3 linked regions of the Oryzias latipes genome follow. The protein of the gene in region 1 purifies or fractionates together with the protein of each later gene. This does not show direct contact. Links are inferred from orthologs where the notes say so. Each region holds a gene or a part of one and is shown in the gene's direction. Other genes may lie near its edges.

The links.
Region 2: the proteins of B-cell linker protein (region 1) and syk purify together in Homo sapiens (affinity purification with western blotting; 3 studies listed by BioGRID and IntAct, with this or other methods). This does not show direct contact. The link is inferred for Oryzias latipes from reciprocal best matches to the Homo sapiens genes BLNK and SYK.
Region 3: the proteins of B-cell linker protein (region 1) and btk purify together in Homo sapiens (affinity purification with western blotting; 5 studies listed by BioGRID and IntAct, with this or other methods). This does not show direct contact. The link is inferred for Oryzias latipes from reciprocal best matches to the Homo sapiens genes BLNK and BTK.

The regions. Positions count from the first base shown.
Region 1 is NC_019873.2:3,160,471-3,170,687, forward strand, and holds the end of B-cell linker protein, read left to right. Parts: intron 1-2,410; coding exon 2,411-2,436; intron 2,437-2,512; coding exon 2,513-2,541; intron 2,542-5,406; coding exon 5,407-5,466; intron 5,467-5,590; coding exon 5,591-5,618; intron 5,619-5,695; coding exon 5,696-5,756; intron 5,757-5,832; coding exon 5,833-5,893; intron 5,894-6,279; coding exon 6,280-6,339; intron 6,340-6,463; coding exon 6,464-6,491; intron 6,492-6,568; coding exon 6,569-6,629; intron 6,630-6,705; coding exon 6,706-6,766; intron 6,767-6,853; coding exon 6,854-6,881; intron 6,882-6,997; coding exon 6,998-7,028; intron 7,029-7,141; coding exon 7,142-7,199; intron 7,200-7,293; coding exon 7,294-7,322; intron 7,323-7,402; coding exon 7,403-7,458; intron 7,459-7,529; coding exon 7,530-7,622; intron 7,623-7,694; coding exon 7,695-7,850; intron 7,851-8,254; coding exon 8,255-8,371; 3' UTR 8,372-8,723; downstream 8,724-10,217. Other genes in the region: RE1-silencing transcription factor, read right to left, coding at 9,977-10,217. UniProt on the Homo sapiens protein: Functions as a central linker protein, downstream of the B-cell receptor (BCR), bridging the SYK kinase to a multitude of signaling pathways and regulating biological outcomes of B-cell function and development.
Region 2 is NC_019870.2:27,530,334-27,541,494, reverse strand, and holds the end of syk (tyrosine-protein kinase SYK), read left to right. Parts: intron 1-1,233; coding exon 1,234-1,318; intron 1,319-1,621; coding exon 1,622-1,781; intron 1,782-2,455; coding exon 2,456-2,665; intron 2,666-2,890; coding exon 2,891-3,080; intron 3,081-4,718; coding exon 4,719-4,859; intron 4,860-6,016; coding exon 6,017-6,129; intron 6,130-6,205; coding exon 6,206-6,278; 3' UTR 6,279-6,441; downstream 6,442-11,161. Other genes in the region: receptor expression-enhancing protein 5, read right to left, coding at 9,066-9,115, 9,347-9,515. UniProt on the Homo sapiens protein: Non-receptor tyrosine kinase which mediates signal transduction downstream of a variety of transmembrane receptors including classical immunoreceptors like the B-cell receptor (BCR).
Region 3 is NC_019868.2:8,311,186-8,322,346, reverse strand, and holds the end of btk (tyrosine-protein kinase BTK), read left to right. Parts: intron 1-1,312; 5' UTR 1,313-1,364; intron 1,365-1,561; exon of another isoform or gene 1,562-1,566; 5' UTR 1,567-1,584; coding exon 1,585-1,725; intron 1,726-2,444; coding exon 2,445-2,549; intron 2,550-3,350; coding exon 3,351-3,432; intron 3,433-3,572; coding exon 3,573-3,695; intron 3,696-3,780; coding exon 3,781-3,836; intron 3,837-3,948; coding exon 3,949-4,139; intron 4,140-4,875; coding exon 4,876-4,938; intron 4,939-5,122; coding exon 5,123-5,177; intron 5,178-5,273; coding exon 5,274-5,353; intron 5,354-5,800; coding exon 5,801-5,928; intron 5,929-6,569; coding exon 6,570-6,641; intron 6,642-6,844; coding exon 6,845-7,016; intron 7,017-7,121; coding exon 7,122-7,341; intron 7,342-7,495; coding exon 7,496-7,560; intron 7,561-7,642; coding exon 7,643-7,761; intron 7,762-7,855; coding exon 7,856-8,013; intron 8,014-8,113; coding exon 8,114-8,185; 3' UTR 8,186-8,537; downstream 8,538-11,161. Other genes in the region: timm8a (mitochondrial import inner membrane translocase subunit Tim8 A), read left to right, coding at 9,232-9,342, 10,782-10,943. UniProt on the Homo sapiens protein: Non-receptor tyrosine kinase indispensable for B lymphocyte development, differentiation and signaling. Binding of antigen to the B-cell antigen receptor (BCR) triggers signaling that ultimately leads to B-cell activation.

The DNA.
Region 1 (10,217 bases):
GAAGAACAACAGTTAGAAAACTGAGGGATGACTATCAGAAAAATATGGAGTAAAGCCTTAGTCCCAACTGCCCTTACAGGAGGACTTGGGCTGAAATATGGGAAAATCTGTACGGGGCACACAGGTTACCCGCATGTAATTTCAAGGTCGTAGACGACTCGGCTAGCACACAGGGCGAAAATGTCCATGCACATTTTTTATTACGGGCATGCTGCCAGTGACAGGTCGCAATGAACACTTAAGCAACACGCAAGGGTAAATAAGGGGGAAGTAGGTGAGATTCAGGTGTGTCGTACCCCCTCAAATTGTACACACTGTGCAAGGGGCCTGTTTTTGACATATGTGCATGCTCCCTGCACGCCCATTTCACAGTTCTTGTATGCAGGTAGACTGTTAAAATTGAGTAAATTCTACAGTGTTGTTTGCGTTGGCATTGTATAGGCGTCCTACAAGCGCTTACACATCACCTGAACACATGCGTGCACCATTTGAGCATGTCAGTGAGGAGCCAATACTCGCACTTACTTACGACTAGAGGGTGGCGTACACTGTACGACATCATCCCCCGTCAGTCATAAGTGCGTTTAGTTTACAATTTCTTTACAAATAATTCAAGACATACTTACCGCACGCACGACAGATCTCCATGTCCTCAGCTGTTTGGATGTATATTTCTGTGTTGTGAAGCAGACCTTTCATATTCTTAGTACCGGTTTGGAGTGTGTCAAGTGGTGTCAAGAAGAATGCGTGTTCTGGTGTTTAGAAATGTCTGGGCAGGACTTGTACCTAGGTGCTGACTTGGTGTGTTACGATAGTCTAGTATTGTCAGAAGTGACAGTGCAGTTTTTACAGCTATTTCTGATTGCAATCCAGTGAGGATGTTCTGTGTTCACATTCCCACAAAACCACTATAGCTGCAACATTCAGGAGCCAGTCTCTGAAATTCCTGTGACCCATTATCTGAAACCATAACATCTGGAAACCCTTGTCTTGTCTTCATCTTTTCGATGGTGATAAAACTCGAGGTGTTTGGTGGATTATTAAACTGGAGCGGTAATCCAGATATATTAGATGGTTTTTGTCGTTGTAACAAAACAAATCCACTCCTACTTTGGACCCTGGTCCATAGCAGAGACGTGTGGTCAGGGGAGGCAGATAAAGCAGTGCCTCACCTGTCATAATCCTCACCTCCCATCACAAATGCTAATAATACCAAAAATGTGTTGTCTAATCTCTACTAAAAGGCATTCTTTATGTATTTTTCATTCTCAAAATCCCGTATCTTGTGTACTTCCTATTCAACTACAGTGCAGGCTGTGAGATGAGCCTCACTGCAGATTGCCCAATTCCATGCAATCCGGGCGGATTGCGTGCCTTTAGTTTGTTCAGCGTATTTGCTAAAATGCTTTTATACTTTGTAAACCTTTTTATTACATGTCCTCACTTTCCATTAGATAGTTATTGTGTTTTATATTTGTCTGTTGTTTATTTGGTGTTCAGATCTGACATAAAGCTGAAAGACAGAAAGTGACGCAGGCAGAGAGACGAAGAGGGCGTTCATAAACTCACGTTTGTTCTTCAGCTGTGTAATATTCAAAAGCCGTCCTTATTTTCTTTTGTTTCGACTGACCGACGGATGAAATGTAATTTTAAAAAGTCGGACTTTCACTGAAATGTAAAGTAATAAATAGTCGATGATCAATGGTGGACCAACACTTCTGCAGTGAGACTGAGAGACTAAGGGAAGATAAGGAGGAATTTTACGCTCAGGTCACTGAGATTATTGACTAGAAGGACAGATAAATGGGCTTTGTGTACAAGGAAAGGGTAGACAAGGGTGTGTGTTAGATTTCCAATGCTATAGGATGGCAGTAGCATCTCTCTTCTTGTTGTTTTGGGTTATTATAAGTATTTTAAACTTCAGGAAAAGTCTGCTGCAATTTGACCAGAAGTGCTGGTATTGAACTTCTTTTCTATTTTTCATTCAAATCTGGAATTAGTGACTCTACATGGCCACAAAACTGACAACAATTTACATAGTTTTGACTAAATATCCAGACATGAGAACTTTCCTCCCTGGATGGAGGCAAGGGGTCTCCTTGAATTTAACCCTTGTGCTATCTTAGATGACCCCACCCTTACATTGACGTGTTCTCCCTACCATGACAAAGGTGGATAAAGGTGGAAAGGTTTCATGTAATCCATGGACACCAGTGAAGATCACAAATCATTGAAGAAAAAAGGTTCAGAGCACTGTCTAGTGGGTCTAGATGACCCAACTCCCAATGTTGAAGTGCCTAGGATAGCACAAGGGTTAAAATAGTGGCTATGGAAGAACATGATAGAAATGTCTGGGGACACATACATGCCTTTTGCTGCACCTTTAATGAAAATGTTCATTGTTTTTCAGACTTTTTTGAGCCTTTTGACAAACAGGTAGGCTCTTAAGTCATTCAAACTCTACACCTGAACACACAGTGTGCGGAACTGACCATTGCATTCAACTTTACAGGAAAAGTCTTTCAGCCTTCCAACAAGCAGGTCAGTTGGAGTTCTTTTTTCTTATCAAGACATCTTAAAAGTAAAGATTTGATACGAAAAATATGAAAAATTTGAATATAAGTTTGGATTTATCATTTAGATTAGTGGAAACGGGGCATTTTGGCTGAAATCGACATCACAAAATGCACAATTTATTAATTGCTTCTGAAAAAAGGAGAAAAAATCAAGCAGTGGATGAAATCTATCAGAATAGGACTCAGCCAGTTATGTACGGTGAGGTTGATGGCTGGTGAGGCACCGACTCCTCTGCAGTCAGATTTACAATGAAAGAACTGAATATTTCAGGATTCATCCAACAGCAGGAAACAGCTTATAAAATACACACAAGAACATATTTTTCCAACAGAGAATATTTCTTTTATAAACATGGATAGAACACTCTTCTTCATATGTACTGTAAACAAATTAAAGTATACAGATCTGTTCAGCACACATTTGACCCTCAGTAACTATTTCTGGTATTTTTCCAACTTCAAATTGTGGTGCTTTAATCAGTGCTATCAAATGTTGTCTGTAAAAATGATCATAAAAATAAAAGAAATGATGTTACTTAACTTTTTTATACTCACGCCCATGTTATTTTTAAAAAACAAACAATGGAAAACATGTTTGGCCTTACTTTTTGAGTACCTGCACCGATCCTTCTCCACAAAAAGCTCAATGATCTGTTGGAAAATTTTCCTTTTTTTCCTTTAGTTTATGAGTTTCTCCCTCTCAATGGAGACAGACGTCCTCGGTCTGTTCTGTTTCTACGGCGCCAGTGTAGCTACAAAGCAGCTGTCAGCTCACATCTGCCCCTGCTGGTGAGGCTTGCTTAACCTAAAGCCTTTTCTGCGGGTCTACAGCAGTGTTTTCAGCGCACTGTTACTCTGCTCTCTGTTAACATATATTAGCCGCGTTTACATGGGCAAAAGTAATCGGAATGAACGCCTGATCGGAAAGAAAATGCGTCATCGAAACACGCCGTTCGGAATACTCTGCCCCGGTCAGACTCGTTCGGATCAGAATTTCTTTCTGATCGAGATAGGTGGGTTATACCGATCATTTATCCGATCGTGGAGCATGTAAACGGTCATTCCGATCGTGTGTCACTGCTGCTCTGGTTTACATCATGCATAGATGGTGTTTCGCTGACAGAAAGGTTTGGAGCGCAAACGCGACCAACCAGCTGCTCTGCGGCCGCCCCGTGAAAAGCGCCCCTCTCTCTCACCCCTCACAAGGGAGATGCGGGGCAGGAGCGCTTCGTGCCCCCCACGCTCACTCGGTCCACTGGAGTGAGCAGAGGAGCCGGTTTAATAATTTTGTGTCTGATGGGGGGAGGATGCTTTGTTACGTGTGCGTTTTGTTGTTTTGTTATGTGTGGGAAAATTCAGACTGCGAGCGGTCCTGCCGCTCTGGGTTAGCTGCTGCAGGACTCAGGAGAGCCGCCAGCTCACACGGCTTTGGGGCGGTCTGTCTGTGTGAACTTTTCAGAGCAGAACTAAATGTCGTTCAGTCCTTAGAAACTGTTCAAACAATCACGTGGATTTGTGTTTCTAGTTGTGTCCCGAATAAAAAAATAAAGGCAGATGTTATTCCCACACATTTACGTGCAGCCAAGATGCTGATTGCTGCGTTTCTCGCATGGTCCTGGATTTTGTGTCCATGATCAGGCTAATCATGTTGTTAGCCCGTGTTAGCCTGTCCTAACCCTTCTTCCAGCTTAATTCTTCCACAAAAAAGCACTGACCACACAAATAAAACGATGAGCGAACAGGCGCTTCATAATATTCATGACATTAAAAAAAGCACGTTTGGAAGATTGTCTCGTATTACGGAGCTGCTGCACATGCTGTCTGTCTGTGGCAGCGGTTTGTTTACAACGGGACCTAGTTTCTCATCCGGGTGATTTTACACTACTGCGCATGCCCAAATCATTCCGAAAGTGTGAGCCATGGGAACGTTTGTTCTAATCGGAAAAAGGTTTTCTGTGCCCATGTGCACGGGGGAATTTTAACCCGACCATTGATCCGATCAAGTCCTGCAGTCAAACACGAGACGAATTGCTTCAGAGCCTCACCCAGAGTTTCAGCTCAGTTTGTGATCACGCAACACTCAAATTTGGCGATTTTAACCTCAGAAACTGTGGAAAATGTGTTGAGTTGACTGATAATTAATATTTGACACAGATCAGTGGAAAACAATATTTACGTGATTTACCTTTGTTGATTTTACCACGATTATGACAGGTGGGCACAGCGTCACCTGACCGCACGTCACTGGACTCAGCGTATTTTTGAAAAGCACATTATTCCAAGGACTGGGTTTCACACAAACCCTTTATCATTGGTTGAAAATGTTGGTACAAAAAGACTAGATACGAAAACAGAAACCACAACAGCCAATAAAAACAAGGAGTTTTTGAAGAGACTTCTATAATCTGTATTATTGCTTTTTGCTATTGATTTTTCAATTTCTGAGATTTTATGAAGCTACATGTCCTTATAAGGAGGTAAAAGAATAGTAGAATTGAATTTACTGTTTTTCAATCAACAAATTATTCTCTTCAGGAAAATAGCATCAACTTAATATTGATCATGTCTCTGTTTAGGAAATATTGATGCTTTAAGACCCCACAGTATGTATGGTGACAACACATAGAAAAGAAATAAAAAAGTGGCAACTATAGCCCAGTTTGTCTAAAAAACCTAACTTTAAAATGATTCATCCTAAAAAAAAAGCTCTTGGTTTTTTTTAAATTATCTGCAAAACGTTCCAACCATATAGAACAGATTCACCAGAGGAAGCCAGAAATGGCAAAAAACGACTATACCATGCATGACTCAAGATTCAACTGTCTTCCAGGCTGTGTCCACCTGTTCAGACCAAACTGTCTTTCAGTTTACCCCCCAAACCCAGCACCAGGTAGGACAGAAACCTTTCCAAAGGGTCCTGAGACTACAGAACTTTGTGGTTTTCTGTCAGACACTCCCAGCAATCCTGAGAAATGTGCTGTAGAACTAAACATTTACTCACTTACTTTCTGCAGGTCAAACACCAAGAGATTTTCCGCTGATGTAAGTGACAACAGAGAACACACTTGGTTTAAAAATGATGATCTTTTGCCACTCACACCCCGTTTGCACTTTACCAGGACGAAAGGCCCACACATGACTACGAGGAGGAAAATTATGAAGTCTGTGATATAAATAAAGGTGAGCATTCTGTGGAGAACTGCGCCATCTAATGGACAACCAAAAACGATTTCAGGTTAAATGTGTGCTTCTTTAGGTTTCAGAGATCAACACGCAGGTGACCTTCCGCCTGCCCCACCCAAACCTCCACCCAAGGAGTAAGCCTGAATATTTCATGTCCTTATAAGGAGGTCAAAGAATAGTAGAATTGAATTTACTGTATTTCAATCAACAAATTATTCTCTTCAGGAAAATAGCATCAACTTAATATTGATCATGTCTCTGTTTAGGAAATATTGATGCTTTAAGACTCCACAGTATGTATGGTGACAACACATAGAAAAGAAATAAAAAAGTGGCAACTAAAACCCAGTTTGTCTAAAAACACTAACTTTAAAATGATTCATCCTAAAAAAAAGCTCTTGGTTTTTTTTTTAATTATCTGCAAAACGTTCCAACCATATAGAACAGATTCACCAGAGGAAGCCAGAAATGGCAAAAAACGACTATACCATGCATGACTCAAGATTCAACTGTCTTCCAGGCTGTGTCCACCTGTTCAGACCAAACTGTCTTTCAGTTTACCCCCCAAACCCAGCACCAGGTAGGACAGAAACCTTTCCAAAGGGTCCTGAGACTACAGAACTTTGTGGTTTTCTGTCAGACACTCCCAGCAATCCTGAGAAATGTGCTGTAGAACTAAACATTTACTCACTTACTTTCTGCAGGTCAAACACCAAGAGATTTTCCGCTGATGTAAGTGACAACAGAGAACACACTTGGTTTAAAAATGATGATCTTTTGCCACTCACACCCCGTTTGCACTTTACCAGGACGAAAGGCCCACACATGACTACGAGGAGGAAAATTATGAAGTCTGTGATATAAATAAAGGTGAGCATTCTGTGGAGAACTGCGCCATCTAATGGACAACCAAAAACGATTTCAGGTTAAATGTGTGCTTCTTTAGGTTTCAGAGATCAACATGCAGGTGACATTCCGCCTGCCCCACCCAAACCCCCACCCAAGGAGTAGGCCTGACTCATTCTCATGTTTCGCCAATAACACCCACTTTTGATAACAACTTTCCTTCTGATTTTTTTGTCTTTGTTTATTAGAAGAGTACCACAATCACCCTTACAGTCGGTAGGAGTGCTTTCTCAATAAATATTCGTTCACAGAATACCAACTTTTCATCACCGTGTCACATGATCAAGAAGGGATTTCTGATATTAAAACCCTGGTTGTGATTCTTATTGCAGAGACCAGAGTTCAAATCGAGAGAATTTGAAAGTAAGTCAGTTTATTGGTTCTGTGCTTTCACCAATAAAGTGGTAAATATTTACAGTAGAAGCCCTAAAGCAGCTGCAGAACTGTTTTCCTTTTGTGGTTTGTGCATTTCAAAGGCAGCAAGCCCAGCAAGCCCGAGAAGCAGTTATCTTCCCTGTCCTTCAAACGACCAAAGTGAGGCTTCCTGCTCCACACTACACATTTCTGAAGCAAAACACAAAGTCACATAAGTCTGGGTTTGTGCTTTAACTGGATCTTTTTTCTTTAGGGCTCCTCTTCCACAGTTCAACTCTCTAAGTCAGTATGTCTTTGAAGCAACAATGAGTGCAAAAATCCTCCTCATCAAAGTGAAGCGACTAAAATCGTGTTTGTTTCAGAGCCCCCTGAGAGAGGAAGCCCCCCAGTGGACAACGGCTCAGTGGATCAAGACAAGGTTTGCTTTCGCAACACAATGTAAAAAAATTAAATCTTCACGTTTTTAAAATTTGTGATGTGTACTTGAAGACATGTCAGGATGCAGACGTCTGTAACAAAGCCTGGTACGCCTCTGCATGCGACCGCAGGACTGCAGACGAGGCTCTGATGCGCTTTAACAAAGTGAGGATGGAAATGTTGATTTCCCCGTTAGCCGTTAGCTGCCGGATCTGAGCAGGACTGTCTCTGTTTCAGGACGGGGCCTTCATGGTGAGAAAGAGCTCCGGCCACGATGCTCAGCAACCGTACACCCTAGTGGTGTTCTACAAGGGCCGAGTGTACAACATCCCCATCCGCTTCATGCCAAACACACAGCAGTTTGCTCTGGGGAGGGAGAAGAGAGGAGAGGAGGTCTGATCTGAGCGCTTTCATACTAATTACAGAACAAGGCACTTTGTGCGCGATGTTTCCTGTGCGTGGGATGGGAATAAACTTAAAAAAGGTTTTTATTATCACAGACGTGTTATGAAGTATAGAGAAATATGTTGAGCTGCAAACATTCAAAAGTGTATATCTTGATATTAATGTACATTTTTGATATAATAATCCCAGCCCATGGATTCAAGTGTGTGTTGTTTGAACACTTTTCTTTACAATGATTGTTTCAATTGGGAAATGACAGTGAGTAAGGCTGTTTGGGTGATAATGTGTCTATCCTTTTACTGCTAATCCTAACAGCCACTTCAAGTTAAAAAAGACTTTTTATCTAAAAAAAACTTGAAGAATTGACTGTAAATGTCTCTTTTTCCCTCCAGTTCTTCAGCAGTGTGTCCAGCATCATCGAGAACCACCAGAAGAACCCTCTTGTGCTGATCGACGCGCAGAGCAACTCCAAGGATACCACCAAGCTCTGCTTCCCTGTGAAGCCATGAAAGTCCTTTCTGACTGTCGTCAGGCAACATCCATGAGCTCCCGGCTGCATCTGCCGGCTGCGCTGCCGTCTACGCTGCAGACGCTGGGCCCCTGCTGTCGGCTGCAGCTACAATTGGCCCCCAACCGAACAGAGAAGGCCGCTTTGTGTCAAGCTTCCATCCATCGAGCCAAAGAGGAAAAATCCTAAATGTCATGTGTTCAGCACAACCAACTAAAATGATGCACTGAATACAAAACGATGTGATTGCATATTACAAATATGAATGTTCATGTTTCCCTTTAATAAACAGCAGCATGTGAGGTGTATGAATTTAAGAATGAAATAAAAACGTGTGTTCAGAGTTGAAACAAGATCAGAAGAAAATGTTTTCATTGCTGCTCGGACACTTAAGTGACAAAACTGCTCAAACATATTTTATTGTTTTTTCCATGTTCAGTTGGACTCAAATTAATGCAAGGAATGAGACAATAACGCAAAGAGAAGAACCTTTTTTTCTTTTTAACAATGCTTTGGAGGAGAAAGACAGTCCGTGTTCCACGTCTGCTCACGTCCTCATTCATAAAAAACGGCTCCGTTCTGAAAAAGTAATGCTGTTTAGACGCGTGACCATTGGTTGCATAACTTAATTAATAACCAGGCACTTGGTGAATATTCTCAGAAAGGATTTTACAGTACCACCAGACAGTCTATGTACAATTATAACAAAATGGAGACTTGAGAAACTGGGATTTGTGCACAATAGAAGAGGAATTGTCCTTAAATCCCCGACCGCATCCGTCAAGCCACAGCGCCGCCGTGTGAGCCGTGAGGGAAGGTGTGGCGCCGCGGCAGGACGCGCGCGGCGTGAGATTGTCAAAGCCCGATAAAGTGAGGTAACAGGGAAAAGAGGAATCCTCTGTTCATAACACAACCAAAAGATTCCATCCTCGCTTCAACACAAACAGGACTAAAAAGAGGAAACATTCAATTTAGCTAACTAATAACATTTACATTTTCTTAAAATTATTTTTAGCAGATTTGACTTCAGAAAACAAAAGGTTACCGCATGAAACTGTCTCATCAGTTAAATTAACTCCCACGTCATGCGACTCTCATAGTTGCCATATTTTGTGAACAAAATACAAGTTTTTACAACAAAAAATGTACAAAGATTTCTCTAATGGCCAAAACAATAATGAATAAATGAAGCATATATAGGATAAACCATAAATACAAAGAATAAAACAGCTTTTTTATGCTTTTGCTTTCTTAAACACACACTTTGGTATTTCAGAGTAACTTGAGGGGACGTCCCAAAAACAAATATGGCAGCCCACTCCCACATTAGCTGATCCCACGAGGGTATGGCAAATCTACTACCTACAGTGTTCTTAATGGGGTTCAACATGACAGTGTACTGAAATGACCATAAATAAAGAAAAGGGAGACAATTAGAACCCCCCCGTGGTTGTGGCTTTACCAGAGTTCGTCTCCAGCTTCAATGCTTCATTGACCCTGAGCATGGGACCCCCCAGGAGGCATACGATTGTTCACAAACTCAATCACAATTAAGACCTAAAAAAGTGTCTTTTTTCCAGACTATTGTGTCCAGTGTTGGAGACGTTTAAGAGTTTTCACAGCTTGGCCTTTTCCACTCCATCAGATGCCGCTGCCGATGGCTCATCATGGTTTCCTGACACGTGAAGCTCCGCCCACAAAACCAGCAGGAGAACTTCACCGGCAAACTCCTGCTGGGCGAGTCTACGCCCACTATTTCATACTTTTTCCTGTTCAACCGACGGAACTTAAACTTCAAGGTGAACCTTTCCTGCACCGGGTTGTCCCCCCGCCACGCAGGTTGGGTC
Region 2 (11,161 bases), on another chromosome or scaffold:
TATTGGACACAATAAGTGAAAGTTTGCTGAAGGTACATGGTAAATAGCGTCTTTTATGTAGCCCTTTTTTTTTTTACCTTTTGTAAGGGCTTTACAGTCACATTCATCCTCACACACTGATCAGTGGTCGACTGCTCTACCTCTGCCAAAAATGACCCTGCTTTGGCTCTGCAAACTATTTTTTTTCATATTTTTATCTGCTTTGATAAAATACAATTTTATTTTTTTATTTAATCTTTATTTATATAGAAAAAAAAGAGAGAAATTCTTATTTTCCATTGTAGCCTGGCAAAAGGTAAAAACAGAAATAAAGTGAGTTATAAGAGACACACAGAAAAAATATGGAACAGCACAAAACAATCGATAAAAAAAAAAGATTAATTCAATAAAATAATTAAAATCCTTAAACTAAGTTAAAGCAATATATTTCTTAAAAATGATCCTTAAGATCCTTGAAATAAGAGTGTCAAGTCTAAGGTTTTTTGGAAGTGATTCCAGATTCTGGGTCCTGCAGACTGAAAGCATAAAGAACCCAGGCTCCAGGTATAGTCAGGCATTGCTTGATGTGTTTTTTTAACAGTAAGAAATTAACAATCCAACCAAGCTGTCCTGTGACGAGTTCTCCTGCAGCAAAGCCTCTGACACTGGACAGCAGAGAACACATGTCAAACTCAGAACTTGAACAGGACAACCTGCCCAAAGATGTCTAAAAAAGGTTTCAGAATTAACCACACCTCGCCACAACACACCGCGCTGTGCACACAGTTTTATTTATTTGTGCTGAGGGGATCTGTTTGTTACCCTGTTTGAAATGTTTTTGTTCAGATGGAAAATGAAAACATAGCAGCTTCTAAACATCAAATGAACTTAGTTTAAGGTAGTTCTGTTCCCAATGACGAGCCGTGTAGAGCAGTTTTAGTCATTGTTTTAACTAAAAAGATGCGTCAGTGTTTTTTTTTTAAAGAACAACATCATATAGAACTGAGTTAAAGTCCCTCATGCTTCTAAGAACAAGAGAATCTGGCGTGTTAAAGTGGGTTTGGAAGTGGAAGGAGGAGCGTGGGTTCCATGGTCCAATTGGTCTGGTGCACTCGGGCTTCTCTGCTGTCAGAACCTTCAGCGGCCACCATGCTGGGATGTGTTCACATTTATCTGACATGAGAAGTCTCTCTGAACGCCTAGTGTCTGCATCCTCAGTCTGACTTCAGCCTCTGCTCTCTGTACAACCTACAGCCCAGTCGTGGATCGCAACACAGCACCACAGACAGCTCAAACCCGTACGAAACCCGAGTTCCCGGAAATCAAGCAGCCAGCAAAGGTAGGTTCATCGTGCTCGCACATGGAAGCACATTTCCTTTCAGGGTCTGTTTGTGTTTAAGAGATGAGCAGGGAAATTCAGGAATGTTCACAACCTTAAAACTGACTGAGGAGCTACACACCAAGGGTTCACGCTCTGTGGTTACAGAGTCAAAAGCCCTGAAACACAAACACCTGCTAATGATGAGCCTGTGAAGCTGATGAGAGTACAGACATGAGTCAATGTGGAGAACAGCAACAGATGACTCAGAGATGAGACGTCTTTCTCTTTATTCTTAGTGTGAAACCTACTTTTCTCCATCAGAGGCCATGCCCATGGACACAGAGGTGTACGAGAGTCCTTATGCAGATCCAGACGAACTGAGAAGCTCCACAGTCGATCGCAAGCAGCTCTTCCTGGAGGATGGAGAACTGGGCTCAGGGAACTTCGGAACCGTCATGAAAGGCATCTACAAGATGAGAAAGTATGTTCTTTTCAGCTCTCCTCCACTGACGATGTCAGCTGAGCTGGTGAGGTCAGGCAGCAGAGAGAGTTTGTGTCGCAGAGCGGGAACAAAAGTCAAAATGTTTCATTAGATTCAGTCACGATGACTTCGCTGGACAGAAACTCCCAGGTGAGCAGCCCTGAAGCAGAACTGAAATTTACATAAGAGTCAGGTTTACCATGGCAGAAAGTCTCTGAGGAACATTAACTTGATTTTCAAATAAAACACCAAGTGCTGACTCCACCTGCTCCACCTCAATGTGAAGTTGTAATCTGCAGAATGGAAGCACTTGGAGTCACGGCACACGTATGCAAGCAAAGCTAACCTCCGACAGAATCCGTGGGACTGTCCAAGTGTTAGGAATTGACTTTCGGTCTTGCCCAAGGACATTTAATTAGAGAACATGGAAATTGAACTCTTAACCGCGTGGCTGGAGGATGATCACTCCAGGTCACACGCTAATCTGTGAATGCAAAAGTAAAAAAAAACATTATCAGTAAGTCCTTCTTAAAGGAAGGCAAAATAACGTTTAACTTAATAAAACAACCTAAAAGCAAAAGAATAATCCACGGGATTAAATTAACATCCTTGATCCTTTTTGATGAACTTGAAAAGATGTGCATGAAGTCTTACCCCTCAATCCTGTGTGCCAGATCAGAGAAACCGGTTGCAGTAAAGATCCTGAAAAACGATGACAACAACCCGTCTGTGCGCGAGGAGATGCTGCGAGAGGCCAGCGTCATGCAGCAGCTGGACAACCCCTACATCGTCCGGATGATCGGCATCTGTGAGGCGGAGAACCTCATGCTGGTCATGGAGCTGGCTGATCTGGGGCCGCTCAACAAGTTCCTGCAGAAGAACAAGTAGGTGTCCAGCTGGGTCTGTTCTCAACCGTATACAACCTTTATATATATATATATATATATATATATATATATATATATATATATATATTTTGGTTGACTGTCTGTGACCTTCTGACTGAGTCTTATGTCAACTTAGAAAAAGAAGAAAATGTTGCAAACGTCTGTTGTTGCGGTTTTTTTCCTGGACTTCAGTTATTCTAAGTAGGGGCTGATTTTTCACAGGCACGCTTCCACAAAGAACATCACGGAGCTGGTGCACCAGGTGTCCATGGGAATGAAGTATCTGGAAGAGCACAACTTTGTCCACAGAGACCTCGCTGCCCGAAACGTACTGTTGGTCACACAGCACTACGCCAAGATCAGCGACTTCGGCCTGTCCAAAGCCATCGCAGAAGAGCACAACTACTACAAGGTGATAGAGGCTCAGAGAAAGGAGGCTCAAAGCCATGTCACACGGCCGCTACGTACATTTTAGGCATTTTCCACGTATGAAATGTCGGTCTTTCGGGATTCACGCTTGATGTACGTAATTCCTGTGTGTCTTGGTTGATGTGCGCAGATGTTCGTTGAGGGTTTCGGCCGACAGGTCTTCATGTGAAATCGGTTTGGAGCTGTTCAGAATTTGTGGTCGGTTGAAAATTATGCAGTTTAAGCCTGTTTTACATAGTTTACATGCAATTATTACGTAAATCTTATGCAATTTTGGATGACTATTGTGAGATGCATATGCAAATTTGTGGCTTTTACAACAGTTCCACATATGTCTAACGGACTTTTCATGCATGGACCACAGAAGTACAATTTATATCACGTAAGCAGCGCACATATCACGTTAGAATTTTGGAATTGACGCAGGAATCCCTAATGAGTTTCATATAATGAATTGCGTGGTTTATTTGTACTTGCTGTGTGGTTTTGATGTGGTTCTTACAGGAAACATCTGTGAGAATTTCATGCAAAGACTACAACTTTTCTCACTTTTCCCACGTATATTCACGTATGACCAATTGTCATCCGTGCAATAGTGGCTGTATGCCTCTGGCTTCAGAGAGGGACCATAAGGAACGAGGCAGATACATTCAGACAAATTTAGGGATGTTTAAAAGCATTCAGAGGTATTTTAAGATTTTCGAAAGCACAAAAAGACACTTGGAGAATACAATCTGGGAACAAGTGAGCCGTCTCTGCCATCTTTTACAGACAAATCTTTCTTCAGGTTCTTTGATAAATCTAAGAAGTCCTGTTGTGTCTTCTTCCATCAGAACGACATTTTGTGTATTTCCTCCAGCAAATACAAAACCACTGTTATTACAGTCGGAGATTTCCCAGGATTAGAGAAAACCTGTGGAAGTAAAATGCCCAACCATACAACAACAATATAATGAGCGTATTATTTATTTTGAAAAAGTGTTGTCTGCCATGACTTCTTCTTACCTCAGGGCTGAGGTTCAGAACAACAAGCCCCTCCCACTGGGCATTTCATGTAACATAATTAACTTGTGATTTTGCAACACTTCTTTTGCATTGTGCCATCTGCATGTGAACCATCTTCTATGGGTGACGTCACCCTCGCTCGGTCCAGTTCTCTTATATGGTCAATGTGCTAGATCCAAGATGCTCTGTGAGGCTTCAGTCCTGAAGAGTCGCTCTCCTCTTTGACTTTGAGTTGATGATAGCTGTGCCTCAAACACCTCCCAGAATCCTCTGGGTTTGTCACATTGTGTCCTCTGCGGTCACCAGAGGTAAATGAGAGCTTTTGACTTTTCTGTTCTCCTTTTTCGGTGCTGGCGTGAGTGTGTTCGGTCTTGGTTGGCAGCAGAGCTAACAGCTGTTGTCATCTATGATAAATGTATAATCTGAGATGTTTCTGATAACGTAACCGTCTAGTTTAGAAACCCGAGTCTGTTTGATGTGTTTTTGTGATTCTCTGTCCTCTTTTTTTTTTTAGCTCTAATTTCATATTTTTGCTCAGCTTTTGCCAAAGTGTGGCTCTCCCTGAATCTGTCAGTGACACCTGACACTGGTTTTTGGCGCTGTGTTTCTCCTGCAGGCAAAGGGTCATGGGAAGTGGCCTGTGAAGTGGTACGCGCCTGAATGCATCAACTACTTCAAGTTTTCCTCCAAAAGTGATGTGTGGAGCTTTGGCGTGCTCATGTGGGAGGCCTTCTCCTACGGCCAGAAACCATACAAGGTATGAAGAGTCCAACCGCAATGCTCCAGGTCACACACAGCCACGTGTCGCCACCTGCTGGTCATGCTGGTCACTGCAGCAGTGTTGGGATTTTTGTGTCGGGACAGTTTAAGCTGTGAGTCAGGAACAAAACAAACATTATCTGTGTGACTGACAAGAACAACGATCAGGACAGATGCAAATTCAGTTCTGCACCAAATAGCAAGAAATATCTAAGCAAATTAAATACAAAGACCAAATGTTCTTAATGCATTCTCATACCAGTCCAAACTAGTAATCATCAGAGTTTAGCTGTAATTCTGTATACAGTGTGAATGTAGAAGACTCCCTCTAACGTGAATTCTGGTCAAACAACAACTTCCAGGGCTTTGATTCTTGGTGAACTATCAACGTCATGAAGCTCGTTAAGTTTTACTGAAAGAAACAAACTCATGTTCTGCACGTGCACGGCTGCAAAAGTAAAAGAAGGTCAAATTGCTATACTGTATATAGAAAAATGTATCACTGTACCACAATAATTATGTAGCACTATAATTGGATTATTGTACATTGCTACATTGTATTAATGAATGATTTGATGGCCACAAAAACAGAGTGGATTTTCTAAATGATGAGGTGAGGCTCTCAGTGGGTTTTGGTTAGTAGGAGACTTCAAGGCAGCAGACCGCTGCATTAAAGTATTATTAATACGTCATTAATGAGCTCTGGGCTGCTCACTGGTGGTCAGCAGTGTTGCCTCATAGCAAAAAGGTCTGGGTTCAGATCCTGTGCATGCATGGATTTTCTCCAGACACTCCTTCCATCCTCCCACCATCACAAAAACAGCCTCATAGGTTGGTTGAGGATGTGGTTCTCTGTTCTATGCGGGGTCTTGACTTCCTGCTCTGACCCTCTGGACCGAGCAGAGGATAAGGCTTCTCTACTGCAGAAGCTCCATGCAGAGGTGAAAATCTGCCTTAGAAAAAAAGAATAAATCAATCTTTTTAAAGAAAGGAAAATAAAACATTCAACAACATATGACACACGTGCCCCTGGCTGACCTCGTCAGTTCCTGAGTTACCTTCTGGTTACATTAGAAGTAATTGGATTACTTATGTCAGCAGTGACTGATGGGAAATGCAGCATCTTTCAGTGACCGTGTTGGCGACCTTCCACAGGGAATGAAAGGAAACGACGTCATGCAGATGCTGGAGGGTGGGAGGCGGATGGAGGCTCCGGTGGGATGTCCTCAGGAGATGTACGAGATGATGCTGAGCTGCTGGACCTACAAGTGAGTGACGGGCGAGCACGAGGCACGGGCGCAACGCTGTCGGACACGCTGACAGACTGTCTTTTCTCGGTTTCAGGGTGGATGAGCGGCCCAGCTTTGCCGTGGTTGAACCCCGACTGCGCGAGTATTACTACGATATTTCGCACTGAGCCGTGGTGGGAGGACGGCTGTATGTACACGCTTAAAGCGGGAAATGAACGCTCTGGATCGGCATCAAACCGGTCCTTTTGGAGAGTCCCTTACCAAAGCACATTTCTCTGCTCATCAGTGAGGAAGGCGGCCGGTGCAGACAAAGAGGAAGAAATGCACAAATGACTCTGTGAAGAAGAGCTTCAAGATTGCTATCGTGATGCAAACCGGACATGATTAACGACTTCTCCTTCTATGTTGAATGCAGACAGGATGAAATGTATGAGTGCTTGCTGAGAGTAAAGCTGTGGCGCAGACTGAACATCAGACTGTTTTATGTCCTCTTTGCTGCTGAAGCTGCAGCAGTAAGCCGGGTGGGGGGGCTGAAATTAACAGCTATCTGATGCTGCTGAAAGCCAATTGAATTTAACAATTCCCTAATCTGTAATGCATTCTCCAGATCTACACAAGACTCTATATTTTTCAACTGAATTCATGTCTTAAGAAGAAATGAAAGAAAGAACTTCAGGTAAAAAACAGTGGTGTTCAGGTTTTGCACAGACTTTCCTGCAGCAAATATCAGCCTTGAGAGACAAGACTGAGGCTCTGTGAGTCTGCAGGAGCAGGAAAGGACAAAAAACCTGAACGGGGAAGAAAAACTGCATTTTGGCAGAATCTGGTTGATGGGATCTCTCAGAACTTACAGGCCGAGTCTCCAGACTGAGACTGGTCCACAGACCTGCAGCAGAAACACTGAGCGCTTTCTCTACAAGCCCATCAGGTAGCATCGTCCAAATGTTAGGTGACTTTAGAACCAGGTGAAAATGGGAAGCATGTGATATGCCTCCATTTATGTTTCCCAAAAAATCTTACCTTACTGCGCCAATCCCGATTGGCTGGTGATTGAGACCATAGACTGTATATGAGAACTGGACAGAGCATAGAAAATGATTTAATTCCAATTCATACCAAGTCAATTCGGTCGCCATTTTCCCACCATATGGCTGTCCCCATGTTGGAACCAGAGGTCGTCAGAAAGCCGTGATTGGTCCGAGCCGGTCTGGGTCAACATTTCTATGGCAACCCCTCTCTCCAATCAGGAATGATCTTGCTAGAAGGCCACACCCCTTCCACTTGACAGCGGGCTGCCACAGAATCTGTTGAGGGTTGAACGTTTGAGGTGACACCACATGCTTTTACTGAGACATCTGATTGGACAGTTTATAACTTGAATAACTTGCACTGCAGAAAAATAAGGATTATCAAGAAGATGCTAAAAAAATGTATCAGACCAAGAATGGTTGTCCTGACCAATAGATTGAGTAGTAGCTGTTTATGACATAGAAGTCTATGGAGTTTTGGCTTCTTGGAGCCAGTTGGTACTTCCTGTTTGGAACACCAGGGGGGAGGGGTCACTCAGTCCAGTTCTTTTATACAGTCAGTGGTTGTGACCCTCTGCCATGCATGAAGAATTTCTTCATTTTGCACCAGCATGAAGGGCTTTCTGATTTTTTTTAAAAAGGACTCGTCATTCAGAGGACTGGGATATAACAAGCAACCCAGTCTCTTTCCCGAAATGTATTCCCATGTCTCACTATGAGGAATGGCGACTCCCGTGTTCACAAGCAGGTTTATCAGCAGAGAGCGTACACTAAAAACAGAATCTTGGGAGAGTAAAAAGACCCTTTTTCAAGAAAAACGGTCTTATTTTCTGTCTTGCAAGAAAAAGTCTCATCAGAAGTGTTGCACAGTGAAATCATGTTTCTCTGCAAGACTATTTTTCTGACCTCATTAGCAGATTGTTTTCCTTATTTAAAGAAAATTTGCTAATGGGGTAAGGACCTAATTTTATGGGACCTGTTTTTACAGTGTACAGTCGCTGCTGCTAAAGTGTCCCCGATAGAGACCAGGAGGCAGCAGAGGGAGACCACGGGGGCTGACAACTGCTAAAAGGAGATGCAGTTGGGTTAGCAGCTCAGTGGCCTTGTGGAAGAGTGTCTGCCCTGTGACTGGAGGGTCATGGGTCCAAATCCACGCTGAGTGATACTAAAGAGTCGAAAAATGGGACCCAATGGCTCCCTGCTTGACACTCAGCATTAAGGGGTTGAGTTGGGGGCTTAAACCACCAAATCCTTCCTGGGTACAGCTGTGTCTGCAGCTCCCCCTCACTTTAACTTTGAACAGTTGCTTCTGTAATCCAGTGAGAGCGGCTCTAGTTTGTGAAGGGACAAAAATCCCAGAGTCTTGTCATCGTAAGAGTGCAGAGAAAAGCCGGCATCTCCAACCTCTGACAGTCAGGTGAAGAGAACGCCGTCTGGACACCGGGGCAGAGAAAACCCACCACCGGGGCAGAGGACATGAGGGACGCACTGAGAGGGAGATCAGCTCAAGCCAGTACCGCCACGCTCTGCAGGGAGAGGGGCTTCAGTTTGAACCCAAATCTCTGGAAGTCGACTCCATTGGTGTGGTGAGCGGATGCTTTGGTGGTGATACTTCTTTCAGGGTCACAGATGAATATTAAACATCCAGATGGTTTTAGGATCCAACTCCGTTTATGCGTAGCTTTTATTGATCAGCTGCTTCATACATGAACACACCCAAAGGTCTGACAGACTAAACTTTAATCTGAGGATTCAAATGTGTTTTATCACGACAGGTTGATATTTGCAGACAGGCAGCAGCTTCACTTCAGCGGTTTTTATTTAGCTCAGGCTGATCTCTATCATGAGAACATTTCACTGACAGGAAGCAGAACCATGGGAACACCAGGACCAGACCGGCGCCTCCGTGGAGTCAGGCCTCCTCCTTCAGGAGCTCTTCTTCTCCTCAAATATGATGTTAGCTGTGGCTTTTTTGGCTGTGGAGAAATGAAACAAAGTGTAGCGTCTTAGCATCGCTCCCTGACAGAGAAACCGAAACTAACACAAGCTTCTGGAGGAGGAGCGCTGCAGCCTCACGCTGATCTCTGCCTCTACGCTTTAACGCTGCCGGTGAGGCCTCAACGCTTGCAGGTGTACTGACACCTGAGCTGACCGTGTCACCTGACCTCAGGTGCGAGTCCTGTCTTCCTGCTGCAGCTTCCACCCACCTTCATCCCTGATCTTGTCGGCAGCGTCTGAAGCCTTGTCCTTCAGGTTCTTCACCGTGTCGTCGATCGTCGCCTCGTTCTTCAGGAAAAACGGCCGGATGATGCGGTGATAGATCTGAACGGACCCGTTGGAAGGGATGGGAGCCATGCACCAAACCAGGAAGGCACACTGCGAAGAGAGAGAGGACACCGAGGGGGGGGCGTTGGTGACGAAGACCAGGAGCTCAAACGCTCGGAAACACTTCAAAGAAGGGAGTTTCTGACCGGGTCAGACCTGCACGTTCATAAAAGACAGCAGACACCTCCCTCCCACCAAGAGCCAGAACCTTCAGGGGTCTGTCGGTCCTGAGAAACAAAGATCTGCGTCTGACAGCCTGACGTGTGGCTCACATCCGTGCTCAGTTCAGATCCGTCCGTGTGGATCTGAACCAACATTTGCTTTCTCATATCAGGCATTTCCATCCCAAATTCAGACTCAGGTTCTGCTGATCAACCCTCTAAACTCCTCCAAGCATTACAGCCACCAGAATTTTGAATGTCTATGTCGAGAACGGCTGCATGGTGGGTGGTGCAGTGGTTAGCGCTCTTGCCCCACAGTGAGAAGGCCCTGGTTCAAATCCCAGACCTGCATGTGTGCATGTGTCGGGTTTCCTCACACAGTCCAAAAACATGCTTCATAGGACAACTGATGATTCCAAGTCGTCCCTTAGGTTTGTGTGTCTTTGTATGGCCCTGCAGCTGTGACTCAGCCCCTCCCACAACTGAATCAGGTTGCCGTCAATTAGAGAAAATCTGGATTTAACCCTGTGAATTGCTCCATGTTTGTTTACCTTTACTCTAAAACTGTTTTGACTAAATATGTTATTGAATAAAATATTTTATTGTCGTCCTCTTATTCTGGTCCTGGATTGGTCCGTTATAAGCATGAAAATAGTGTCAAACTCCATTTGTGACCATTGTGGGCGGGCCTTCAGACAAACCGCTCCACTGGTTAGCTGGATCCGGTTCAGTCCAACACTCATTAACCAGCAGCTCATTCTGCAGAACAGCATGGAGGAGCTGCAGTTTTCTGGATTACGTTGAGTTTCAGCTAAAGCCAGGCTCAGACCAGACCTGACGGGGGGTGGGGGGTGAACCTGGAAATCCCGGCTTCACCTGCAGAACGGAGGCAGCAACAGGATGGAGGGAAGTCGGGTTTCTGAGTCTCTGTGAGAGGGAGGTTACTGTAGGTCAGATCCAGCAGGGGGCGGAGTCTGCTCTTAGTTCTCTGAGGCCTGGGGGGGGGGGGGGGGGGGGTGTTATCTACTGAAGCCACTCCAGTGATCAAACCCATGACAGCCGTGAGAAAGTTCTGAGGCCGTTAATGCCTGGCAGAGCGGTGAGTACAGCATCGGGTTCCGGTGGACTCCAGTCCCGGTCCAAACCGCGGTTCTGCTGCTGTTGTTGGAACAACCTGAACTGAGAACAGATGAGGAACCTTACCTCCTCACAGAAACATGGAAGAACGTGAACCCTGGGGGGTTTGGGTAAAAGAGCTCGGTTCTGGTCCGGTTGGTCTGCTGGTTCCGTTGAGTTTTAATACTGTGGTCGTCCTCACAGCACTGGAATCTGCAGGATCCCACTTTAGACTTGTGGTTGGTGACCCGGTTCAGCCCTGCTAAACTACTTATCGCACAACGATTCATTTTAACGATTCATATTATAACCTGTGGTTTCCGATCCGGTTCATCGCCAATATTTGTTGATACTCTGACCGAAAACGGATCTAGATCATCTTCATCCAAACTTCCAGCAGTGAGACTCAGACAGAAATTC
Region 3 (11,161 bases), on another chromosome or scaffold:
CTCGCTTCAGAAAACGGCTAACAAGCAAATGTCTTTTAGGCCGCCACAGTCTAAGCACGCACGTTCAAGGCTTTTCTGCAGAGTCTTGGGACTGTCACAACTGACAAAGATGGCAAATGAGGAATGAGAAAACAATACTTGGCAGAAAAGGGAACACCAACAGACTTTATAAGTAGTGTCACCCTCATGTTAAGAAATGTGACACTCTTGGTTAGCAGGGAGGTACAGAAGTTTCTGGCATGTTACTGTTACACTTCAGAAAATAAAAGGAAGTACTTAACGGCTTAAAATAGGCTGAGCTGTAGAGCAAAAATATCTGACACAGGCTTATGGACTCTGAGCTTTCAGGCGTTTGATAAAGAGGAGTTTGACCAGATACTGACATTTAAACTTCTGCTGTACACGACAGAAACGGTCAACTCAAACCAATCAAATTAAATTAACCGTCTTTAAGATGGAGCGTCCTATATCTCACTTAGGTGTTTAGACAGACTGGCAATCTGCCCAGGGTGTACCCCGCCTTTACTGAACAGTAGCTGAGATAGGCTCCAGCAACCCCGTAACCCTAAGAGGAATTCAGCAGGTTCAGAAGTGGATGGATGGGTGTTTAGTGTTTTCCTCTTGTACCATATGTGGTATCATTTTGAAGACAGATGGTCATTCATCTGTGCTCCGTTTCCGTGTTTTCCTATTCAAGTGCCTAGATCGATGACCAGCTCAGCAACAGCAGTCTCACCTTCACAGTCAGAATGACTCATAGTTATGGAGCTTTTTTTGTTTTGAGCGTGCTGGTTTCATTTCAACACTGGCGAGGTGCTAAAACCATGACACAAAGCACAGTCCCAAATGAGAACCTCCTTTATTTGCAGACTGTTTTATGATCTGTTTAAAAGTAGTCTTGTGTCTGAGTGATTGTGCGACAGAGAAAAGGAAGATTGTGAAGTTTTCCAAGTCATGATCCCTGTTTGTATTGTGTCTGCACTGAAAGTACAGGAGCCTGTACCACTAACTACACTTTTTCAAATCCCTGAAACTGGATCTCATGTAATTCCATGTGAGCGTCGGGAAAATATTTGAAATCAAGCAATAAAATGTAGTGTAATATATCACAGATAAGTTATTAATGTATTTTACTGCATGATTTCTAATTTTATTTAAGTCACAAGATGGCTGAGGGAAAAAGATCTCCTACTAAAGGAAATGATGGAATCGCAGGACAATCCTGACGTTAGACCGCTGACTTTAAATGCAAATTTCGGCTAATCACTAACTGATAAGTGCAAAAACTGCATGTCTGCTCATCTCTCCTCAGATCTTTAATCTCATCTGACACAGCACTGTTGCTCTGACTCTATGAACAACAGGTCAGTGTTCCGTTTCCTTCTTTGAAAATATGGTTGAAGGGGAATTTAAATATTCCATTCTATACTTGATATGCAGGAAACACACCAACCGCACACTGATCATGAGTGGAGCTGTGGGGGCAATGGCTGTGATTGTAAGAGCCTTCTGTTTGCTGCACTCTTCTTAAGTTTTCTGTTTGTTTGTTTTTTTGTCCCAGTGTAGATCCATCTGGGTTGAATCATGTCAGAAAACATCCTGGAAGATCTCTTCATCAAAAGATCTCAGCAGAAGAAGAAGACATCTCCTCTGAACTACAAGGAGAGATTATTCGTTCTGACGGCAGAAAAATTAGCCTACTACGACTATGATGCAGACAAAGGGGTGTGTAAAGTAAACAGAGAACTGAGTCCTTGTTTTTTTTACTACTTGGACATACTTTTATTGTGAATGGATGTTGTTTAAAGCATCTTATACCCAGTTTAGACTTTAAAGTGATTTGTAATTGCTCAGGTGGCATCGGCCGCAAAGCCATTGGAAAGGAATCGGCCCAATCGCTGCGAAATGCGACACAGGTTGATGACATCATCCAGGATTGGAATTTTACACCTGTAGTACAATCACGTACATATCGCGCTATTGAAACTACAGTTGTTTCAAGTGATCAGAAGACGCGATGGCAGAGCAACCTCGATCCAGAAAATAGTGTCTTTTTTAACATTGCTGATGATTGAAGACATTAGGAAATACCGTAGCCTCTATGATACACATGCGGGGGTACAGAGTCAGATAGAGCGGACAACTGTGTTAAGAAAATTGACCATTGTGTACCTGCGTGTTCGCCAACGCAGCAAGATGTCAGCCATGTTGAAAATACCAAACCACGGAAATGCTGGACACAATAGTATAAACGCCACTCAGAAGTTCATCACAGCCATGAAGGCCAGTCGCAAGCGAAACCGGCCAACTTTAGAATTAACTAGACAGCGCAATGCAGTAGGGACACTATGCGATTAATGTGATGGCCAATCGCTGTAAGTATAAACCGGGCATTACAGCCGATGCACTCAAAAGACTCCAACTTTTTCCTTGTGTGTGAGCAGAAGCGAAAAGGTCTGAGGGGTTCCGTTGATGTTGAGAAGATAAAGTGTGTGGAGACGGTCGAGACAGAGCCCAACGCTCCACAGGAGCGAAGGTTTGCTTTCCAGGTAGAGTTTATTCTTTTTAAATAACAAGCTTCATTTTAATCTAAACCGATTTGTACAAGCTTCAAAAAGCATTCATCCAGTTTTTCAGACTTCCCATCCCAAAACTATTACTTATTTACTTTTGCTTTCACTTAAGTTTCCAATAGAGCCCATAGATTATAACATCCTACATCATCTATACCACTTTTATCTTTTAAAGTGTGCCAACAAACATTTTGCTTTGCATCCAATTCTTTTTCCAATGAATTCAATGTATACAAAAAAGAAGACTCCCCAAAGCTCTTACAGACAAAAACTATGAAAGTGTCTTCTTTAAGAAGTGAAACTGTCTCAGATGAACCAGGGGATTTCAGAACAATGCAGGTGTTGCCAATGAGCTGAATGGTAAGTAATGGGAGTAACTGTACTGTCTGTTCCACAACAAGGACATTTAAGCACTGCAGCACCAAAACGTGGGCAAAAAGTAGCAACAATATTATATATATATTTCATAATATGTCTTGATAGGAGTCTGCCTTGCTAACTGGCAACATAAGAAAGAATTAGTTCCATTAAACCAGTCAATCTCCACATCCTCCTGAATTCAGTAGCTTTTAAATTATGATCTTACATTTTTATTGAGTTTAGTTAGTAAATAGATATAAGACATTGTACGCATTGGCATTTATTCAAATATTTAAAGAGTGATTAACATTCAGAGGCACAAGTAAACCCTTGTGTTAAATTTGAGTGAATGCAGCTAAGGTGAAGTGTTGGGGTAAATGAAATAAATAAAAACGGAGACTGTGATTTTTGCCTCAGGTGGTCTACGATGAAGGGCCTCTATACATCTTTGCAAAGTCTGAGAACAGTCGTACCGAGTGGATTACAAAGCTAAAAGAACGTAAGTCCACACAGACTTGCATTCTGTGTCTCAATATTCTGTATATGTCACTTCTTGTTTGTGAAACAGAAGAGCTATGCAAATGCAAATGTTGATTTCATGTAAATGGTGCAGACGTGTGTGTCTGTTCTTGTGCACAGTGGTGCGCTACAACAAAGACCTGATGCAAAAGTATCACCCCTGTTTCTGGGCTGATGGCGTGTGGCTGTGCTGCCAACAGGAAGTTAAACAAGCTATGGGTTGCAAAATATTGGATAAGAATGGTAAAAAAAAAAAAAAGATTTCCTTTGTGTGATACATTTTTCAACAATTTAACAGCTGATCCAAATATGAAATTTATTGTTGAAGGTTATGCATCTAGAACGAGGTCGACTAGAAAGCCTCTTCCACCGACCCCATCAGAGGTAAGGGTAACTTTAGGTCTCTAATAAAATAAATAATTAAGATATTAAGTTTCGGTTTTGTTTCATACTTGTGCAACACATCTGCTATGTGCATGATTTCATGTCGTCCCAGGAAAAGCCCAGTCCCAGTCGCCGTCTTCCACCGCAGCCTGAGTCAGCTGCTCCTTCTTCAAGCATGACTGTCATAGCTGAGTATGATTACACGCCCATGACAGCCCAAGACCTGGAGCTGAGGACGAATGAGGAGTACACCATTCTGGAGAAGTCAGACCCCAACTGGTGGAGAGCCAGAGACAAATACGGGTCAGAAGATGCCAAATAAAGAATAACATAAACCACTTTACTTTGGACCCTTACAAACACATTTGTATTTGTATGCTAAAAACGCTACTTATTTCTCTTTGCTCACAGCAGTAAAAGTCTAAAAATTAAATTAAGGCATTACAGATGGAAGGCAGATAGAATTTTCCACACTATAGGGCGCAAAAGATCAGAAGGCGCACCGTCAATGAATGGTGTATGTTTGAGCTTGTGTCATAAATAAGGCAAGACAAAAGTGTTAGAGATAAATTCATCAGTCAGACTTTACTAACTGAGGTCACAGTAATTCTAGAACTTGTTTATAGCACGCTACACGTTAGCTGTGTTGGCGTGCTCACAACATCTGTAACTCCCAACCTTGTTTGAAACATAAAAAAACCAAACTGATATCTCTAAAAACAAACGTTACTGTGATTACACTAACTCCCAACTTAGTTAGTACAGTAACAGAAAAAAAAACACAGTCCGACACCGCTACACATTAGCAGCACTAGTGTGTATTCACAAAAACACCGTGTACCTCTAAAAATCCCTTTGACATCAGTAAACACAAGCAGAATGAATCCGCATATAAGGCGTTCTGGGTTTGAAAATAATTAAAGCAAATTTTAAGTGTGCCTTACAGTGCAGAAAATATAGTAATATTTGAATTTGTTTTGACAAATACCTAAAAAATATTCTACTAATTGCAATAAGAGATCTTGATTATATTTTACAGGAAAGAAGGCTACATACCAAGTAATTATGTTGCAGAAGCAGAGTCCGGCCTTGAAAGATTTCAGTGAGTACCACCTTTCTGCCCTGAAAATGGTTATGTTCTGTTTCTAAGACTTTCAAATGTTTAATTTAAAATGATAAATGTTTATGCGTTGTATCAGATTGGCACAGATGTATTTAATTGCCAATTTCATGAATTCTGGAGGTAAAAAGCAGTAAGAAAAAGACAGTTCTGTTGTTTTCGACAGTTGGTACTGCAAGAACATGAACCGCAGTCAAGCAGAACAGCTGTTAAAGTCTGAGGTAAATAAATGCTGCGACTACAGCATGTTTTTTTTGTTTCCTTCCGAACTAGAACCAGAACTTTTTTTCTGAAACTCTTAAAATGTTCACTTTCAGAACAAAGACGGCGGTTTCTTGGTGCGGGACTCAAGCAAAGCTGGGAAATACACCGTATCTTTATTTGCCAAGAGTGGCGCGTGAGTAAACTTGTGGAAACACTGCCACCATTTTTTTATGGTTGCTCCTTTGGCGTCAGTCATGTGTAAACTTATGAAAAGAAGAACTGTGCAAAATGAAAGCGGAAACGGCTGGTCGCAGAGAGAAAGATGTAAATCTTTTTATGCCAAATTTGGGCTAATCTTACTATTTAAGCTGATCTGTACTGTGGTTTACTCTGAGGATAAACTGTAATATAGTTACTGTCAAAGTCAAAGTCAAAGTTAGCTTTATTGTCAAATATTCTGCATACACAAGACATACAGCCCAGCACTGTGGGCACTCTCACCCCACAGTGCAAGCAGCACATAAAATAATAAAATAACAGTTATAAGAATAAGAAGATGTGGACACTAAGATACGATGTGGATGACTACCCTTCAGCTGGATCTGCTGGCACTCGATTTCACTTTTTTTTTTCTCTACAGGGAAACAGGTGGAAGCTGCAGACATTACAACATCTGCACAACCCCACAGGGCCAGTTTTATCTGTCAGAGAAGCACAACTTTGACACCATCCCAGAGCTCATCAACTATCATCAGCACAATGCCGCCGGTCAGTCCCGCCACGGCACAGATGGAGCCCTGTAGACCAGTATGCAAAACAGTATAAATAGAGCCAGCTCATGCTAACAGGAAATTACTCAACAGCGGGAAACCCTGAGAAACCTTTACCAAAATATCAGCAGAAATAAATAATCTTGACTAAAACTTCATTATGATTGCGATTAGAATTTTGAATTTCTTTTGAGTCCACTGACACCAGTTCATTCTATATGTTAACACCACAGACTGAAATGGGCTTAAAACAAAACAGCATGAAAAAACAAATTTTTGTAAAAAAAAAAAAAGAAGCAAATGAAGAAGACCACATTTTACATTAAAAGACTGCAGTGGTTAGTGGGAATATTAAATAAACCATCCTTGTGAACAAAACAAAAAAGACCACTGAATTATATATAAGAAGGCACAAGTTGAAAGCTGCATGATTGGGTATTGGACTTGATGAAAGTTACAAAACACATTAAAAAATGCAGATTTGGTTCGATAATGTGCCACGTTTCCTGCGGCGTTCCTTTTACCTATTTTTAAACCTAATGGCAGTACAGCAAACTACTGTCCTCCATGCATCTGTCACCGTTGCTATCAAACTGTCAACCTAAGTGAGGAGGTTTCAGCTGCTTTTCTTATCTCCAGGTATGGTTTGCAGGCTGAAGCATATTGTGTCTAATCGGGCGCGACCTCCGTCAACGGCAGGACTCGGCTATGGTAAGAGTATATCTGTAGCAGACTCTAAATCCTTTTTTTTTAACATTTGATGATGAATCAACTATTTATTTCTTTGCGAGCAATTTAAGTGCCAAAGATCCTCGGAGGGTTCGATTAGAGTTTAAGTTTAAGTTCTTGTGTGGGGGTAAAAAAGCCTGCAATCACAAAAGGACCTATTTAATCTGAACTTCTATTTCCTCCAGGCGTGTGGGAGATTGACCCCCACTACCTCACCTTCATCAAAGAGCTCGGCACGGGCCAGTTTGGAGTGGTGAAGTATGGGAAATGGCAGGGCCAGCACGACGTAGCCATCAAGATGATTAAAGAGGGCTCCATGTCAGAAGATGATTTCATTGAGGAAGCCAAAATCATGATGTAAGCACAGCTAAACCCCGTCAAGGAACATCCAGGTGGTGAATGTAGTTTTCAAAACCTCTGAGAAAAACCAAATGAACTTCCTTCTCTTTTTGCTCAAACCAGGAAGCTTCGCCATGAGAACCTGGTGCAGCTGTACGGTGTCTGCACCAAGCAGAGACCTATTTATATCGTGACTGAGTTTCTTGCAAATGGGTGTCTGCTGACATATCTCAAGGAAGGCCTGATCCAGCACCCAACTGCCGACCAGCTCTTGGAGATGTGTAAGGATGTATCTGAGGGCATGGCCTACCTCGAGTCACAGCAGTATATCCACAGAGACCTGGTGAGAGACAAAGATCTACTGTTTCTGAGTGGAAAAAAAAAACACCTAGCAGCATTCCCACACTGTGTCAAGATAACCAGCAGTTTGAGTTTACAAGATAACACTGCTACATTTAATGATTATCCTTGAATCAAGGGCACTGTTTTATCTGCAGGCTGCCAGGAACTGCTTAGTAGATGCAAATGGCACAGTCAAAGTGACTGACTTTGGTCTATCAAGGTAAAACCCTTCCTGGTTTCTGATGCACAAACGGGACACGAGTCAAAGCAAAAACAATGAAACCCCTTTTCAATGTCATCAGATACGTTTTAGATGATGAGTACACAAGTTCTGTTGGCTCAAAGTTCCCAGTTCGATGGTCTCCCCCTGAAGTCCTCCTCTACAGCAAATTCAGCAGCAAGTCAGACATCTGGGCTTACGGTGGGAGGTTTAACACAAACTGCTTATTAGTTCTTGGTCACTGTCGACTGAGCCACATTGTGCTATAACATGCTTACTGCTCGCTCTTTATCAGGGGTGCTGATGTGGGAGGTGTACACTTTGGGTAGACTTCCATATGAACGCCTCAACAACTCAGAAATTGTGGACCAGGTTTCACATGGCTTCCGTCTCTACCGCCCTCAGCTGGCCAACGAAAGAGTCTACAAAATTATGACAAGCTGCTGGCATGATGTAAGTGAGCCGTCGAATTTTATTTTAACTCCCGCAAAGAATTCGAAACGAAAAATCATTTCAGTATTATTAGAAATGTTGCTCTTTGCTTTACACTTAGAAACCAGACGAAAGGCCCACCTTTCAAGACCTGGTGCTGATTGTCCAGGATCTTCTGTATGAGCTCCAGTAGACCTCAGACCCACCTCCACAGCGCAGCATCTCTGTCTGTTCCTGGAAGATAAACACAATCATAAAAACTGTTACCAGTTTGAATACAGGGCTCAAAGACCATACAAATATCCTCTGTAATGTGAATATTTGACTGTCAAAATATCACAATTACTCACTTGCTTTTACATTTTATTTGTAAAAATGCATTCAGCTGGACTGTCCATATTTCCACTTATCTCTGACAACTATTATCTTTTCCTTTGAGTGTAAGTCTGTCTGGAATGTAGACAACATTTAGTTCGATTTGTTTTTTTAATGCAGTGTAAGCTTATGTTTTGCACAAATAAAGCCAAGTATGCTAGGCTTTCAAATGTTTGGGGTTTTGTGTTTAAAACGGTCTCTTTTGGTTTAATATTATCCAAATCTAAACATAACTTCACTGTTTACATTTTTGTATAACATGATGTTTTGCAGCAATTTTCATAAATTTTAAATATTGTTTATTTGAACATTTGCAGAATATAATGCAAAATTCAACATTTATAACAATACAAGAATAAAACGCAGTTCTAACTACAAAACAACATTGTTTTGATCTTTTGAAATTATTAACTATTGAGAACAAAATTATAAGTAATATAAATTTTTAGAGAAATTGGTGATCAATAATAACCAAATAAATCAATCACATACGGAAATAAATACGTAAATAAAAATAGAAATGCGTGAGTTAACTTGTGTCATACAAAAGACTTTGAGATGTTAACCGTTTTTTGAGCCTTTTTATTTATTGAAGCGGGATCAATTTGAATATTGCTACAGTTCAAATTTCAGTAAGAAGAATCCTGTTTTTTTGTTAGCAAATTTAATTTTGTGAATATGAAATTTAGCAATATATAAACGTTGACCGCTTACGTATGCGGCCCCACAAACGCGTTGTGTGATTGGCTGAATCACTTCCGGCTTCCCGTCGTTCATTCACACACGTGAAGGTCAGCAAACTCGGCAACATATTTCTATAATTAATATAAAGAATAGAGCTACAACAACATATTTGAAGAAACTATGGACGGGCAAGGAGCAACCGCTGACCCTCAGCTTCAACATTTCATCGAAATCGAGTCTCAGAAGCAGAGGTTTCAGCAGCTTGTGCATCAAATGACGGAGGTTTGCTGGGTAAGCAGAGCTTTTCGACAGCGCACCCGTTTGCATCTAAAACAGCAATAAAACAGAAGCAGGAAACGTTTGTGAAGTTTTGTTTAAAGGTTTATTTTAGATGTTGACCTTTGGTGTTTGTGTATAACCTAACGTGATCCCGCGTTTTAGGCAAATACCGGTCCGTTTGTGAACTCGGAGAGAACGTCATCGCCGTGCACGTTTTCCAGGTTCAGATGTTGTTTTGATAAAGCTTTATTGTTCTCTGCTTGTAACAAAAAGCCCCAAATAAAACAAGAGTTAATTTCTTGTGGAGAACATTGTTTATCTTATTTAACCGGAAGTGGACGTATATAAAAAAAAACAGGTATATGTCTTGAACTACCATTTAGACGTTGTTAGTCAAACGATATTTAATTACCATTGATATATTACTAATTTATAGTCATGTATATTGATTATATATGTATATCGATGTTAATTACGGTTTAATCAAGTATGTGACGTTCATCCCTGGCAATGGGGAGCTTATGGTTTACAGTTATGCCCATTAGTCAATAAATGGTCTGAATCCTTGCAGATATATTTATATAAAAGTTTTAAAATGATACTTGTTCCTATCAGATCCTTTGCTGTATGTCAAAAAGGTGTAGTACAATGTGTTTGTCCAGTAAAGGAAAAGTTGTGCATTTCTATTTTAGAAACAAAAAGGAAATCTAAATTTGTGTAACTATAGACTCTTAGATATTGGCACATTTCAGCTATTGGCCACAGCTGCAGGGGAAAACTATATCGGCCCACCCCTAGCTAGGATGGTTCGAGGATTCTCGCAATACTAGGAAAGGACTGTCCTAAAATATATCTTATTTTGAATTGGTCACTCTGATGAGAACTGTGTTTTTAACACGTTCTTGTGGTGTTTTTCTGATGACAATGGAAAACCATAAAGGAAAATTTATTAAGCTTGAAATTGCATTTTTGAGTGTTTTTTTTTTTTTTAATCATTGGGAATCTGGAGCAAACAAAAAATTGCAGTTGGAAAAAGCTTGTATTTGTGACATAGAAGCTACAATCGGCAAGCTAGAATTATACTCTATTTTGATGCATCCACCTGTAGACGGCTAGTTCCATATGTTGATGACTTCATGTTGTTGGTGTCTTACACTTTTTTGCTTTAAAAGCTGACATTAATCCATTCAAATGCAATAATGGTCATTACGACCTATCAGCCCAAGCTAAAACATCGTTTTCAGTCATAAAATAAAAAATTGTGTTCCGTAACAATCCCTACAATTGTATAGTTGAGCGTTGTGTGTACACTTATAAATAATCAGACAAAATTCTGTTTTGTTGAAGGTACATATATAAATTCTTAAAGGCACTATGCCTTACAGTTAGTGGTGGTAATACAGCTTAAAAAGTCTTTCTTTATTCTTAACATGTATGTTGTGTGTCTCCAGGAAAAGTGCATGGACAAACCTGGGCCCAAACTAGACTCCAGGACGGAATCGTGTTTTGTGAACTGCGTGGAGCGATTCATAGACACCAGCCAGTTTATTCTCAACAGATTGGAACAGACTCAGAGGGGCAAGGGCGGGTTCTCGGACAGCATGTTAGAATAAAATGTGTCGCTGAAAGGACGAGGAGGTTCACGCACATCTGCAGCTTCTGAGTGAAGCTGTTGACCCTGATGGATCTCACAACTAAGAAAGAAGGAGAACTTTAGGGTTTATTTCTGTCAAAAGTGCCTGAGACTAACACCAAGCATGGAGTCGTACATAAATGTAGTGTTGTCCTCTGCTGGTATGGAAGTATTGCTTGGACTGGGGTGTCCTGGCAG